Linked DNA regions of Arabidopsis thaliana. The protein of the gene in region 2 interacts with the protein of the main gene of each other region in a pairwise test. Each region holds a gene or a part of one and is shown on either strand. Other genes may lie near its edges.

What was found. Proteins that work in one complex are often made in the same cells at the same time.
Region 1: the proteins of AT5G22890 (region 2) and COS1 interact in binary tests that used the Arabidopsis thaliana proteins (3 or more experiments, as listed by UniProt).

What each region holds. Positions count from the first base shown.
Region 1 is NC_003071.7:18,220,150-18,226,733, forward strand, and holds COS1 (6,7-dimethyl-8-ribityllumazine synthase / DMRL synthase / lumazine synthase / riboflavin synthase), read left to right. Parts: upstream 1-4,063; 5' UTR 4,064-4,154; coding exon 4,155-4,305; intron 4,306-4,392; coding exon 4,393-4,508; intron 4,509-4,644; coding exon 4,645-4,740; intron 4,741-4,816; coding exon 4,817-4,912; intron 4,913-5,055; coding exon 5,056-5,134; intron 5,135-5,374; coding exon 5,375-5,421; intron 5,422-5,519; coding exon 5,520-5,579; intron 5,580-5,729; coding exon 5,730-5,768; 3' UTR 5,769-6,084; downstream 6,085-6,584. Other genes in the region: AT2G44030 (Galactose oxidase/kelch repeat superfamily protein), read left to right, coding at 1-1,079; AT2G44040 (Dihydrodipicolinate reductase, bacterial/plant), read right to left, coding at 1,836-1,904, 2,026-2,113, 2,215-2,324, 2,417-2,518, 2,621-2,695, 2,791-2,924, 3,125-3,362, 3,524-3,737 and 1 more. UniProt on the Arabidopsis thaliana protein: Catalyzes the formation of 6,7-dimethyl-8-ribityllumazine by condensation of 5-amino-6-(D-ribitylamino)uracil with 3,4-dihydroxy-2-butanone 4-phosphate. This is the penultimate step in the biosynthesis of riboflavin.
Region 2 is NC_003076.8:7,650,484-7,658,832, reverse strand, and holds AT5G22890 (C2H2 and C2HC zinc fingers superfamily protein), read left to right. Parts: upstream 1-3,997; 5' UTR 3,998-4,170; coding exon 4,171-5,292; 3' UTR 5,293-5,576; downstream 5,577-8,349. Other genes in the region: CHX3 (cation/H+ exchanger 3), read right to left, coding at 1-107, 204-1,262, 1,343-1,609; HTB2 (histone B2), read left to right, coding at 6,266-6,703; AT5G22875 (uncharacterized protein), read right to left, coding at 7,230-7,356, 7,444-7,526. UniProt on the Arabidopsis thaliana protein: Probable transcription factor. Together with STOP1, plays a critical role in tolerance to major stress factors in acid soils such as proton H(+) and aluminum ion Al(3+). Required for the expression of genes in response to acidic stress (e.g.

The sequences.
Region 1 (6,584 bases), on a different chromosome or scaffold from region 2:
TACCGTACGACGTTGTTTTCAACTGTTTGTCTCGTGTCTCGAGAACCCACGATCCAATTCTCTCTCTCGTATCCAAGAGTTTCAGATCACTCCTCGCTTTGCCTGATCTCGAAGCCGAACGATTCCGCATCCTAAAAAACGAGACCTGCCTCTATGTCTGCTTAAACCTGAATAACAACAACAACCCTAACCCTAGCTGGTTCATACTCTCTCAAACTCCTAAACATAAACTGATACCACTCCCTTCTCTTCCTTACCCAGATCCACATCCCAATTGCTCAACTGTTGTCTCAACTGGTTCAGAGATCTACTTGCTGGGCGGATTCGTCGCAAAGGAAAAGAGAAGCAGGAGAGCTTATGTTCTCGATTGTAAATCTCATCAATGGCGTCGACTCCCTAAAATGCGTATAGCTCGAAAAGAAGCAGCCGCTAATGTGATTGACGGTAAGATCAATGTGTACGGAGGATGCAGCAGCGAGTACCATAACAGCGTAAACTGGGGAGAGATTTACGACCCAATGACTCAAACTTGGGAGCCATTTCCGGAAGGTGCCTTGAACAAAGAGGGTGTGATTCCATGTGCTCTAATAAAGGATGGCATAGCTTTTCCTGATTGTGGCCTCCTAATTAGTGGAAAAGTTTATGACACTACAACGATGGACACGCTTGATTACAATACACCCATGGACAAGCTTGACTTGTGTCCAAATGTTTGCATGCTAAAGATCGATAACCAAGACTTCCAAGCATCGGTTTCCGATGGGAAACTCAAACTAGTTCGCTGTCGTGGCGCTATGGCGTGGCATTGGACGGTTGGGGGACTTGAAGAATTGTCTTGTAATTATCTTCTTTCGGTGGCAAGCCCTGGCGGAGGAAGGAGAGTGACAGTTTGGTGGAAGACGTATACTAAGGAATGTAAAACGGAGATTTGGTGTGCACTAATTTTGCTTGAGCGCGAGTTGGTTTGGGGAGTCATTGAATGGTCTGAGAATGTGTTTACCTTGCCTGGATCTGAATCCGATTCAGATTCCAATTCCTTCCTTTTGCATTATGAATTAGTGACACTTGCTCGACACTGAATATATACTTTCACAAGTCTTGCTAATTATATGGATATATACTACCAACAAGACCAGCAGCTTCTTTCCTTAATGCTTATTGCAGACATTGATGGAGCTTACTTTCCCTCATTTGTTTCTCATGGCCTATGGAACATAAAACCGTTCTTTGGTGTCTCATGAGAAGCCCATTTAAAGCCCAAATAAGCTGTCACTGTTACACATTTAAAAGACTCCCCGGAGTTCTTCTTAGTTGCCTGCCCTAAAATGCATACCGCCAAGAACAGTCGAAGTGACTCATTTGTTCAATGAGAATAACAATAAAAGCCAAAAATCTTAACAACACCAGATTGAATAAACTTTGTCGATTAAGATTATATACAAGATGATTTCAATCTCTGCGGATTGAGTGGTCAAGTTCCTTACTATGATTATGCACTTGATCTCATTTTAGATGTTGAATCATCAAATGGTAAGTGAAGGGTCCATTTGATGAATTTAGGTTTTACTTTGTCTGAGAATTGTTGTGGAGAAGTTTGATCAATAAGACTTCACTTCAATGATCCAGAAAGGAGAATAACATTGAGGTAAAGAGGTCAAAACATGAACAATACAATGGCAAGTTCTTGTATATACCAAGGAATTTCAAAAGCCTGTGCTCAAGGCAGAAGAAGTGGGAAACCAAACATCTAATTTTCACAGCTGATGATTTGGTAAATCTAATCTCAGCTCTTCTACAACCACCATTTGGTCAATGCACTGGCAAAACTCGAAAGCTCAACGCATATTTCCCTCTCTCAAGACATCGATCATGTTGTAGATTCGCTGATCTGCTTTCAATCGAATCTGCATTTCACAAAAGTGTTGAATCAACAATTAGCATTATAGAGAAGAGCGGTGAGACTCAGAGAAAGCTGAGATTCAATTTCGCAGAATCATGATGAGCAATAAGAGCAAGCTTTAGAACCTTTTTGGCGAGGAAGAGCACGGCATCAACAGTACCCTCAGCATAAATTGATCGGCCGCAGACATTGTGCTGGAACTCGAAGGAGACACTGCAAAGAAAGACAAAGAAAAGGGAGCTAGTTATGGAACAGAGACACTTTTACAATGGAAACAAAGAAAAGTATAAACAATATCTTAGATATTGCATTACGTTTCATCGGGTGATGTCAAGTGATAAAGATGGAAAGCGTGACCAGAGATATGCTCCTCAGGTACACCCACCATCTCCACTTGCTGTTTTGGATCCCGAATCAATTGTATCTGCCACAAAAGTTGTATACACAGAAAATTCACATTCCGAGGATAAATTAAGTGATTGCCAAGATGTAAACAATAAAGGATGACCAATGCACCTGATCCATGTCGTAAGACACACCCAATTCCTGGAAGCAAGAAATAACAGCTTTTGCTGTTCCGGATGCATCCAATTTGCTAGCTTGATGAGACTCCATCACCTACATATAGATTGGCAGTTGATTAGATGTAGCAAGAAGTAATATAAAACTAACAGAGAAAGAAAAAAGAATTTGAATGTATAAAAGAAGTAAGAAAAGTACATCCAAGGAATAACCAGAAAAGGCTCCCGGAAACTGCTCAGCCATGATCTCCATGGCCGCAAGAAATGCTACAACCTATAGACCAACAAAGCACACAAATATGAGCAAAAATGATCTTAACTTACATGCATAAGTAATCATTTCTTCCAGAAACATTCAAGTACACATACCTGTTTACCCATCTGTGGAGAAATCACAGCATAAATCTTTGCTTCCTCAACAGTTTCATACAATTTGTTCCTATCTCCACCAGTTGTTCCCATGACGAAAGGAACACCTACTTTGCTATACAGCTCCGCATTATCTACATTTTGCGAGAATACCAAACTTGAAATCAACAAACAATAGACAAAAAAAACACTTCTAGCAGATGATTTTCACTTGCACAAATTCTAAACTAACTCAATCAAGGATCGTTCCGCCAACCAGAATTCAACCATAACTTCAACAAATCTAGAATACAATTGTCTTTTGATGGTAGAAATGAGAGATTCTGAAGTTTACCATTTACTGCAGAGGGAATTGTGTAGTCGACAACAATTAGCTCCGGGTGCTTCTCAAACACCGAAGAAAGAACCTTTTCTCTTTCAGTTGGACCGTGCACAGTAATCTCCTTTCCACAGACCTCAACTCTCTGACCATCCTCACCAGCAGATCCAAACGATATGGGAACAATATTTACTCCTGCAGAGTCTGCTGCTTTAATTACAGCTTTCCCCATTTTGCCACTACATCCATTCACCTGTAGAATAAGAGATAATGAATATAGCTAAATCCAACATAAAAATCCCCATTTCAAAAGGAACAAGCTTTGACATTTCTACATTTCAAACTTAAATGGTAATGCAAAGTCAAATCTCACAACTTTGAGTCTAAGAGAAATCATCAGATGATCAGGTTTACCATGATGGATATGCCATTTCCAGGCAAAACAGATTTCACGGCCTCCTCACCGGAATCCGCCATCGCCGTCATGGATAAAACCACCGGAAGACGACGTGTCCCAATGCCCATGAAACTAACACGGCCTTTACCGTATTTTCCTACAGTCTGATTCGTTCTAGAAGCAAATGCGATACGCGGGCGATGAAGAAACACACTGGACGACGCCATTAACCTGTGATCAAATCGTTTAAATTCAATAGAATCCTCTTAAAGAGTTTAAAGCTCATCTCCGTCAATCAAAACGTGAAATTCGTAGGTTTCGAAACGTACCCATTCGTAGCCATAAAGGAATTTACTCTCCAGGATACGGAAGTTTTGTTCTTTGTTACGACGGAGTCAAAAGTTTAAATCTTTCACTTTTGTCTGAAAATTTCCGGCCGGTGAGAGTGATTGGGGATGTAGGGTTTAGCTTATCCCTTTTCATCAAACCGGAAATCTCTAACCAAACTAATAGATTCAATGAAACCGTAATTTTAATGAAAATAATAAACCGGAAGCCTTGAACCGATTTGATAAGCTAATGGACCTCACAGTCTCACTCTTAACCTGAAGAACGAAGAACCGTCTCTAAAACTCCGACGAACGAAAAATGAAGTCATTAGCTTCGCCGCCGTGTCTCCGCCTGATACCGACGGCACACCGTCAGCTCAATTCGCGTCAATCTTCCTCCGCCTGTTATATACACGGTGGCTCTTCTGTGAACAAATCCAATAATCTCTCATTCTCCTCATCCACATCCGGTAAGCTTGCTTTCTCTCACTTCTCTTATAATAACTCAAATCGTTTTTTCGCAATTTCGTGATTGAGATGTTAACATTTGGTGTTAGGATTTGCGTCACCACTAGCTGTAGAGAAGGAATTACGCTCTTCATTCGTACAGACGGCTGCTGTTCGCCATGTTACGGGGTCTCTTATCAGAGGCGAAGGTCTTAGATTCGCCATCGTGAGTTCTCAGAATCGCTTTCTTACTTTGTGCGCTGCTTAGATTTAGTGACTTGGTTCTGATTTACAGTGAAATTTGAAAACTTTGAGCTCAATTGCAGTGTTGACTTGGTTCTGATTCATTTTTCTTTCTCAAGGTGGTAGCTCGTTTCAATGAGGTTGTGACTAAGTTGCTTTTGGAAGGAGCGATTGAGACTTTCAAGAAGTATTCAGTCAGAGAAGAAGACATTGAAGTAAAAGTCTTTTGCTTGTAGAACAGAATAAAAAGTTATGAGCTTTCACAAAGCTAATGACACTGTTTTTATTCAGGTTATTTGGGTTCCTGGCAGCTTTGAAATTGGTGTTGTTGCACAAAATCTTGGGAAATCGGGAAAATTTCATGCTGTTTTATGTATCGGCGCTGTGGTATGATTCTTGTTTTGAAAGAATCTCAGGCTATTCCATTTGTTTTTCTCCTCATATGGCTTCAGAAAGTAGTTGCTTTATGTTGATAACATATACTTAAAGAGTTGGATTTTGATATTACTGTTGTCCTTGTTGTGGTTTAGATAAGAGGAGATACCACACATTATGATGCTGTTGCCAACTCTGCTGCGTCTGGAGTACTTTCTGCTAGCATAAATTCAGGTTTACCTCGATACTTATTTGCTGGATATACATCTTTAGACATTTTTATTTGACATTGTTTTGGAAACACTGAAAGATTGATTTTGTATACTTCCGAACCTAAAAGAGCGGGTAGTTCATTTTTGCTTTTCTTTGGATTTTGGATGTTTAAATTCCCTCATCATGAATTACTTCTTCAAATTTTGTGTTTACGCACTATTGACTCTAGTAATTAAAGCTTATAAAAAATCCAATTTGCAGGCGTTCCATGCATATTTGGTGTACTGACTTGCGAGGACATGGATCAGGTTTAAGTTGTGTTATGCAAGAGTTGATGATATATAGCTTATTCATCATAATGGATGAACACTGAATTTGTTAATATTGTGGTTAACTGAAACTCTAGGCTCTGAATCGATCTGGTGGCAAAGCCGGCAATAAGGGAGCTGAAACTGCTTTGACGGCGGTAAGTATCATTATGATTCAATCCTTTATTGTTAGAATAAGATGTAGAAATTCCTGATCATTCCATTGAGCAACTGGTCATGTTATAACCATTCGGGTTCTTATGTCTTTTTGGTAAAGTCTTTGAATATTTCTTCCTCTTGTTTTTCAGCTCGAAATGGCGTCGTTGTTTGAGCACCACCTGAAATAGCTCGGCTCGTTCGATGGATGAACATGATCACGTATGAGAACCTCTTGATGTTGTCCCATTTGGTTACAATCCAGTCTCTGAAATTGTTTGTACCTCAAAGATTGTCAAAATGTTTTACCCTTGGTTACAAAATCATTTAAACGCTTTTGTAAGCTTCTGGCCTTGTTTTTTTTTTTTGAATCGTATGATAATAATAATTCCTCCGAATTTTGGGGGTCTTTCTGTACTAATCAAAAATGTGATCTTCTTTGTTGTAATATCTTGAAATTGAGGTGTCGAAATGGATGTCAATTTTAAAAGCCAATAAGGATCTTACACGACGAAAATTTTGTCGGCGAGCGAAGATTACGCGTCACATTGATAATAGTTAATATAAAGTTCAACGGATCAACCAATTCCACAATCTATAATCATTTTGTGACTCTTGGAGCACTCTCTTCTCTTTGTCTCTGTGACTCACATTCATCCAATCCAGGTAAAAATCAAATCCACTAAGTTTTATTTCTCTTCATTGTTGTTCTTGCGTTGATCCTTCATGATTTGATCGGAATACATGGAAAAAGGTGGTGTAATTAGATCGAGCTTTTTGTTTCTCCGATCTGTTTGACATTTAGGTTGATCTAGTGCTATCATGTGTAGATCGAACATTCGGATCTGTATTTCCCACGAATCCTCTTGATTCACGTGATATGATCATTGTCTCTTAGTACAGAGATGCATTGTATGTTCTTTGGTTTGGGATATTCCACTAGGATCCTAGTTGATGATATCTAATGTGATGCGAGTTCTCTATGGTCTTTGGTGAGAAACTTTGTT
Region 2 (8,349 bases):
GCGTACATCCTCGAAGGATCGTATAAGTACCGCAAGATCGGAGGAATGATTGCGGAGTTCAACGTTATGTAAAGACACGCCACAGTGAAGGTCTCGGGACGGACAGACTGCAATGTTCAAAGCATAAACATAAGATAAACTTTGTATTGAAATGATTAATTATGATTATGAACTTCATTATGTGTGTATACATAATTACATACCCCTCTTTGGTAGGCCAAGGCGTAGGCACCGAGCTCGAAGATGCCTTTAAACGACATGATAAGAGATAGAGCGAAGCAATCTTCCATCGGCATACCATAGAACAAAGCAGGAACAGTAGTAAAGATGAACTTGACGACAAAAGATGTTACCATGATGAGTATAATACCATTGAGACCTTCCCAACCAAATAAAGCCGAAATATCGATCTCCGTGGAAGATGAAGCAATGAAAAACGGAAGAAAAGTTCCGAATATAGCCGACTCATACTTCTGAATGATCGCAGAACCTAAAGGAGGACCATGAGGAACAGCAAGACCTAAGATGAAAGGTCCCATGAAAATAGATTGCTTGCACCAATTGGCAAGAATGGCTGAACCAGAAACCATAACAATTATTGTACTTAAGTAGATTGCCTTGACGGGACGACCGGAAGGTGTTTGTTTAATAATGTAGAACATTAACGGTCTGAAAACATAGATGGCAATACATACAAAGAGAACCACTATCCCTGCTCGCATCAAAGGACGATTCCCTGCAATAACATCACCTATAAACACACTCCCGAGCCGTGTTTGTTCGTCCTTGAGCTCCTTCATAAATATGAGAACGGAAGCGAGAATTGAGGTGCTGAAATCACTTATCACAGCAGAAGATATCGCTAGACGACCAAGCTCTGAGTTTTGTAGCCTGAGCTCAAAGAGAAGGTTTCCAACAACGGGGAAAGAAGAAAGACATTGGATTGAGTAAATCACAACATACTCTAATGAATTGAGAGTATGGTCTGAGTTTTTCGTTCCAACGTCCCTTAAGTTTCCGAAGAAGATAACGGAACAAACTAACGTCGAAAGTAAAACAGAGGAGAGCCCAATGGTGATAGCTTTTCTTCCTGTGGTTCGGATCAAACCCGTGTCCATTTTAACTCCCATCAAGAACCAGAACATCATGTAAGAACAAGCAGCAGTGAGACTAAACACAATCTCTTTGTAATCCTCTGTAGAAAAGAATCTTCTCGCTGCTGAATTCTCCTTTAGAAAAGACTTGCTTAAAAGAACACCAGTCTACAAACAAAGATCAACACAAACCTCAAATTTCAAATCCAGATAACAAGAAAACGAAATCGAGATTTTCGATTACTTACAAGCATATGAGAAGTGAAACGTATCATGCCAAGACGTCGAAGGAAGAAATGTAAGAATTGCCATAAGAAAGAGATGATGAGAAATATCATTTGCAAGTGTGGAAACGCGTAATTCCAGAAATGAACATTGATGTTAGGATCTGAGAATTTTTGTTGCGGCCAAACACCATTGGAGCTAGGGTTGATAGGTAAGACGTCACAAATCATGGTTCCTTCTCTCCATGTGTCTCTCATGTAAAACATCTTATTATCTCCAAACACCTCCATTGATGATGATGAACCCTCAAATGAAACAAATTAAAAAAAAAAAAAGATTCCAGGAGCAATGTGTTATCGGAGAAGGATTACAAGGATTTGGATCTTTTATATGAATTAATTCTTCTTTTACTGTTTAGGTAACAGAATCTAAAGAACAAGTGATCATCTGAGTTTTAAAACCCTAATAATAGTAAATAATGAATGGGCAAACGTTACCAACAAGAAACAGGTTTTGGCCGGCGACATAAATATATATATTTTAAAGGATTGTCTGATTACTGTTAGTTTTTACAGGTTACAACTTAATTCTGCTAATTTACGGGTAATTGAGCAAACTACAACAGACAAATTGCCAAAGGTCATGAAGAAAGAAATTACAATCCAACTTCTGGCGATACCACGTGCCGCCTCTATTTCTCCGGTGATTCCGATGGATCATCAGATTATGATGACGAGTAATCATCTCCGATCCCGTGTTCTTGCTCACGTCCCGGTGATCAGATTGGAGGAATTTGAAATTGCAATTTAAAACTCATTCAAAAATAGTTAGCTTGGGTAGCAAGCATAATTTTTCCAAAAGAAATTTGTGTATTTTTTTTCTTTATATTTTCTTTTTTTATTTGACAAAGTACGTAATAATAGGGAAAGTGGAGTTCGAACTCCCAGCTACGCAAAGGTCTTGTTTTTGTTAGCTTTCACTTTTTGGTCACATATTGGAAACTTGAAAACTAAATTAAAGTAGTTGAGTTGAATTTGTTTGGTGTAGCATTTTAAAACTGAGGGTAATTATATACATGACATTTGTAATTCAGAGATTCATGTCATCCTACATTCCCATGTTGTGGTGAGCCAGTTCGACTGGCCTATATTAGTGAAGTCTGGTTTAATAACGTCTTATTTACAAATGTGGTTTGCAGGTTGGTTCCCAGCAAAAAGAACTAAAAAACTCTACTAGAATCGCATGTGGAATACACTGTCACTGTAATGGTAGCAGCAACTTCTTTTTTTTAAAAAGCGTTAACTAACGTGGCATTTTTTTCTTCTAAAGGACAAAAAGTAACGTAACTCACCAAAGCTAACCCCAAGAAACAGCATTGATCACCCATATCATCATCACTGCATAGAAATTTTGATTAGTCACCAACAAAACTACTTCTTCCGAAATTAAAAAATGAGCACGCATAAGCAATATTTATTTAATATAATTGCAACTCATGCCGATGGCCACATTATAAACATTTCATGTAAGATCCAATCATATAATCGTATATGCACGCGTGTACAAATATGTGTGCATGAAAAGAAAAAAAAATATGTGTGCATGTAAGCAGATAAGAGAACTGAATGTAGTCGCAACTTTTTTTTTAAAGGATTGGATTTGACATAAGATATTATATAGATGTGAGCTTGACAGTTACAGAACGTATTGTATATAGAACAATACAAGAAAAGGCCATGAAAGAACACTAACACTTGACTTAGGTTAATCATTCTTTAATTACATCGGGATTGACCTTCTTCGTTTATTTAACTCATAAGATGTAGCTGACAAAGTCTAGTTAAGGTTTCATCCGGGGGAGGATTTATGTGGGGATGGTCGCTTTTGCTATCTCGAGTTGACTTCCAAGTTAATCCTAACCACATCACATACTTCTATTATTCCATTTTCAACCTAATGTAAATAATTCATATACATGACAAATGCATTTAGAGAGAAGAAAAAACATCATTCATGACGACAAAAACTTAGTCTATTGAACTTTTCTAGCGTTTTCTCTTGCCAGCATCCGGGTTCATCAAAATCTGTATATTGCATATTATTGTCATTATTGACAAAAAGACATTATTTACAACTTCTATGTATCGTATATTTATAAACGTCTAGATGTCTTTTTAATTTAAAACATCTTTGTAAATCTTTAATTAAATATCTGATTTTAAATAAAATCAAACATAAACATAAACAAATATAGTTGTGGAAGTCCTTTGGCCCAATGGTTGATTAAGGGTTCATCAACCCCCGCTAATTTTTTTTTTCTTTCTAAAACAGATGAATGTAACCTAACGTGTGTCCCGTCTCTAGAAAACATAAAATTCTTAAATTCTAACTTCTAAATTAAGAAAAAAAAACATTACTTGACATAATATATCAATTAGAATGTTTTTTTTTTTAATTACAATATTTTGTTTGGATCAAAATATCTTTTGGATTTTAAATCACTAATAAACTGCAAGGTTCAAAATATAGTTAGGTTCAATAGCTTAGTTTTCAAATTTTACTCAATTTAGTATAATCTTTCCGATTTTAAGATGTTTGATAAAGTGAAACGAAAAAATAAATTACTATATGTGTGACATGTATTTGTTTGTGTGTGTTATTTTGTGTGAATGTATGTCACAACTCGCGAGTATTTTATACGGTAGAGGGTAGGGTGTCTTCTTCATTGCATCTCTCTAGAGTCTGGACCGTCTGGCATATATATGAAACAAATATACCACAAAGAATTTAAAGATTCAACAAAATCCAAAGAAAATATAAGAACAAAACTCAAGCTAGATTCTTCATATACATGCATATACATATGATGAATCGAGATGAGCATATTGCAAAGAAAGTTGAAGGATCAATCTCTAGCTTCTCCGGGGAGACCAGTACTTCCTCAAAACAAATCTATGTTAATCCCGTGACCACGACCGGGACGAAATCAATGGAAGACGACGACGTTTCACTCTCTCTTCTATACAATCTATCTACCTTACATGAAAAAGTCCATCAGATCCAATCTCTGGTCAGCTTCTACATGGTATCTACTAATAACATTAACCAATCCTCGGGGTCAACGTCTTTGGCCGTGGCTAACATCGGAAGTTTGGTTCAAGAGATCATCACGGCTGCTTCATCCATGTTATATACTTGCCAACAACTCCAAATCGGATCTAACAACAACAACAACGATATCGATAATGATCAAACCGTAGATGCAATGGTTTTGGAGTTTTCCCGACAAGAAACCGACCCGGGTCATGATTTTGTGCAAGAGTCGACCAACCTTTTTGGTGTCCAAGAAAGAGGGCAGATCTCGTTTCCCGACCAGAATCTTGATTGGTACAACACCGAAACCATAAACCCTAAAAAAGATAAACATCGTTCTAAACCAAGTTCCGGGAGCTACGATATACTGGAGCTAGACGTAGCGGACCTACTAGCGAAATACACGCATTACTGCCAGATTTGTGGGAAAGGGTTTAAGAGAGACGCTAATCTAAGGATGCACATGAGAGCGCACGGGGATGAGTACAAGACACGTGAGGCCTTGATCAGCCCAACGAGCCAAGACAAGAAAGGAGGATACTCGTTAAAGAAACATTACTACTCCTGTCCTCAACACGGGTGTAGATGGAACCAGAGGCACGAGAAGTTTCAACCGTTGAAATCTGTGATTTGCGCCAAGAATCATTACAAGAGGAGTCATTGTCCCAAAATGTATATGTGCAGGAGATGTAGTGTGAAGCATTTCTCGGTTCTGTCTGATCTTAGGACACACGAGAAGCATTGTGGGGATATAAAGTGGGTTTGCTCTTGTGGGACTAAATTTTCTAGGAAAGACAAGCTGATGAGCCACGTTTCTTTGTTTTTGGGCCACGTACCGGCACATGGGTCGTCCAAGCCGCCGACAATCACCCTAAAGTAAGAACATAGGAAGTTTGAGGTCTATAGAGATTTCATAGACGATATCTCAAGAAATGACACGTGCATTCACTCCCTCTCTTTTTTTTGTTCTTTTTCTTTTCACGAGTTTCTATATTCTCTAAATTAATGTCACAAAGATAAGATAATATACAGATTTGTATCATAGTGACTTGTGCATTAACGTTAATGTTACAAATGATTTTGGTTCTGATGGGTATCATGCATAGATTTTCACTAATCTCAGAAATATGTGGAATCAGTGAGAATCAAAATTTATGTTTAATACGTCTCTCACTTCTCAGATTAATCAACAACTATCTATTGATATATCATGCAGAATTTTAAGAAAATATAAGAAACATCGTTAACTCTGTTAAAATACAACTACATATTAACTTATTAAGATGAGTCCAACTTATTAAGCTGAACTAAATGTTTGTATTTTAGAGAAATTCAAAATTTGTATCTATAAAAAGTTGGTTATTTTTGAAGAATTTTGAAAGAGTTGAAAACTTATAATTATGCATTAGTTCTTCATTTCCATAAAAATGTTAGATAGGAAAAAGTTGTTACCAACTTTGTAGATACGGTAAAATCATAGCCGTTCATTGGTAGACGGATCAAAAGTAACCACGTCAGCTATCCACGCCAAAAACTTTTTCTCTCTTTGCCGCTTCATGAACTTATGGCGGATAACAAAAAGCGCAACAGAAAATTCGAATTTTTCAATATTTCGAAAAAGAAATTTAAAATCACTCGCGCATTAAAGTAAAATAGATCTGAACCATCCATTCACCAAAACCCTTCATCGAACAGCACTCATATCTCCACGTCACGCATCCGCGTTTCAGTATCTTAACTAATCAGATCTCTTCCTATTCTCTTATATAAACAAACACACAATTCTCGAAGATAACAGTATCAAATCAAAACCATCACAGCAAAAAAAACTCACTCCCTAGAAAAGTTTGAAAATGGCGAAGGCAGATAAGAAACCAGCGGAGAAGAAACCGGCAGAGAAAACTCCGGCAGCCGAACCAGCAGCAGCGGCAGAGAAGAAACCAAAAGCCGGAAAGAAACTCCCGAAGGAACCAGCCGGCGCCGGAGACAAGAAGAAGAAGAGATCAAAGAAGAACGTTGAGACATACAAGATCTACATCTTCAAGGTGTTGAAGCAAGTTCATCCAGATATCGGAATCTCCAGCAAAGCCATGGGAATCATGAACAGTTTCATCAATGATATCTTTGAGAAACTTGCTGGTGAGTCTTCGAAGCTTGCGAGGTACAACAAGAAGCCGACGATTACTTCTAGGGAGATTCAGACTGCGGTGAGACTTGTGTTGCCTGGAGAGTTGGCGAAACATGCTGTTTCTGAAGGGACTAAGGCGGTTACGAAGTTTACGAGTTCTTAGATTTGGAATGTGGTTTTGTAATGGAGGAGAAGTAGTAGTAGTAGTTGGAATGTGAAATAGGGTTTATGCTTTTGGGTATCTTTGAGGGTTATGTAATATGGGAATTAGGGTTTTAATTTATGGCACGGCTATGAAATCTACTTAATTTTCCAATGTTCGATTGCAATTTCATTGCTCAATTTCTCAAATCTGTTAATTTTGATTAGAATCTAAAGAGCTCCACTTTAACTGAGATAAAAAAAATTGAAACAGTGATTCTCATTGCGTATATATCTAAGCTTTGATTTGAGAAGTATTGTCCAAGTTATGTGATTTTGAGTCTCAAAACTTTTTAGACAATCAAAAATCAAGTTCTTATGCAGGAATAAATCTGTTTCTTCAGTTACATTCAATGGTTAAGTTGGACTGGTGTTACATGAAGGACAACGACTTAAATGGATTGGAGAACAAACTACAAAACGATATTATCTTATGAATACAAAGCTCACAATGAAAACACCTGCGTAATTGTTTTGACTTGATTGGATCATTTCTTTGGGTAAGTTCGATGATCAGGTCCAACATCGCGTGAGCCTGTGTTTATGTAAGGTCCTCTAAAAGTTGCTTGAGGAGGTAATGGTTTTGTTGGATCGATAACTGGTTGTTTCGAAGATCTGCAACCCAAATGAGACAGAGTAAACAACAAATGTCATACCACAAGATGAGAAAATAACATTTGAGAGATAGAATAGGGTGCTTACGCCATGTAAAAGGGGAAAGCTAAGCCTGCAGATGCGAAAAGAACCAAACCGGTGGCTACAACGATGTTACGTGATGGTGCCATTGTAATCTCTCGTTTTGGCTTTGTAACCCAAACAAAAAAATCTAGAGAGAAACCAAAATCAAAATTGGAATCAGTGTCACATCATAAGGGTTATAAAATGATCATTTGAACTCAGACGCTAACACCTAATAGCATATAGGTAACAAAACAAGAATTATGACATTGTGAAACACTGAAATTCATGTGTCAACATTTAGATACATAACACAGAGCTTGTTTTTTCACAGACAAGACATGGTTTACAACATCAGTTCCAGATAAACTGATCAATATCAGATGGTGAAATCAAGACATAAGTGAGAATCAGATATAGATCAGAACCTCAATGGTTTTTTAAATTGATCTCACAGGTGATGTGCCAAAAGTAACAGTTTTTATACACGAAAAGCCCTAAATCCAGTATTATTCGACAAAAACTACATTTATACAATAAGAAAACCAATTAGAATCCGTCGAGATGTTCTTAATCAAGTAAAGAGCAAAATCAAGGGTCCTGAATCCATAATCCAAACATTTCAACCAAACAATTCGAACGAAATCTGTAGCGATAACTGTATGAGAACATCTTGCAAGATTTAAAATTTATAATCACGAACCAAACGGATAAACAATAAGAAGATCTCACTTGGGATATGAGGAGGTCGAGTCGACTCAGTGAATCATTTGGGGAATTTGGGATTTGTACCGAGCCGCGGAGGTGTATGAACCGACAAATTTGGACGTGACGATCTGGGAAATTGATATTGGGCTGTAGATAACTTAAATGGGCCGTACTCGTATAATAACTTATTGGGCTAACTTCGTAAATTTGCATAAAAAATGT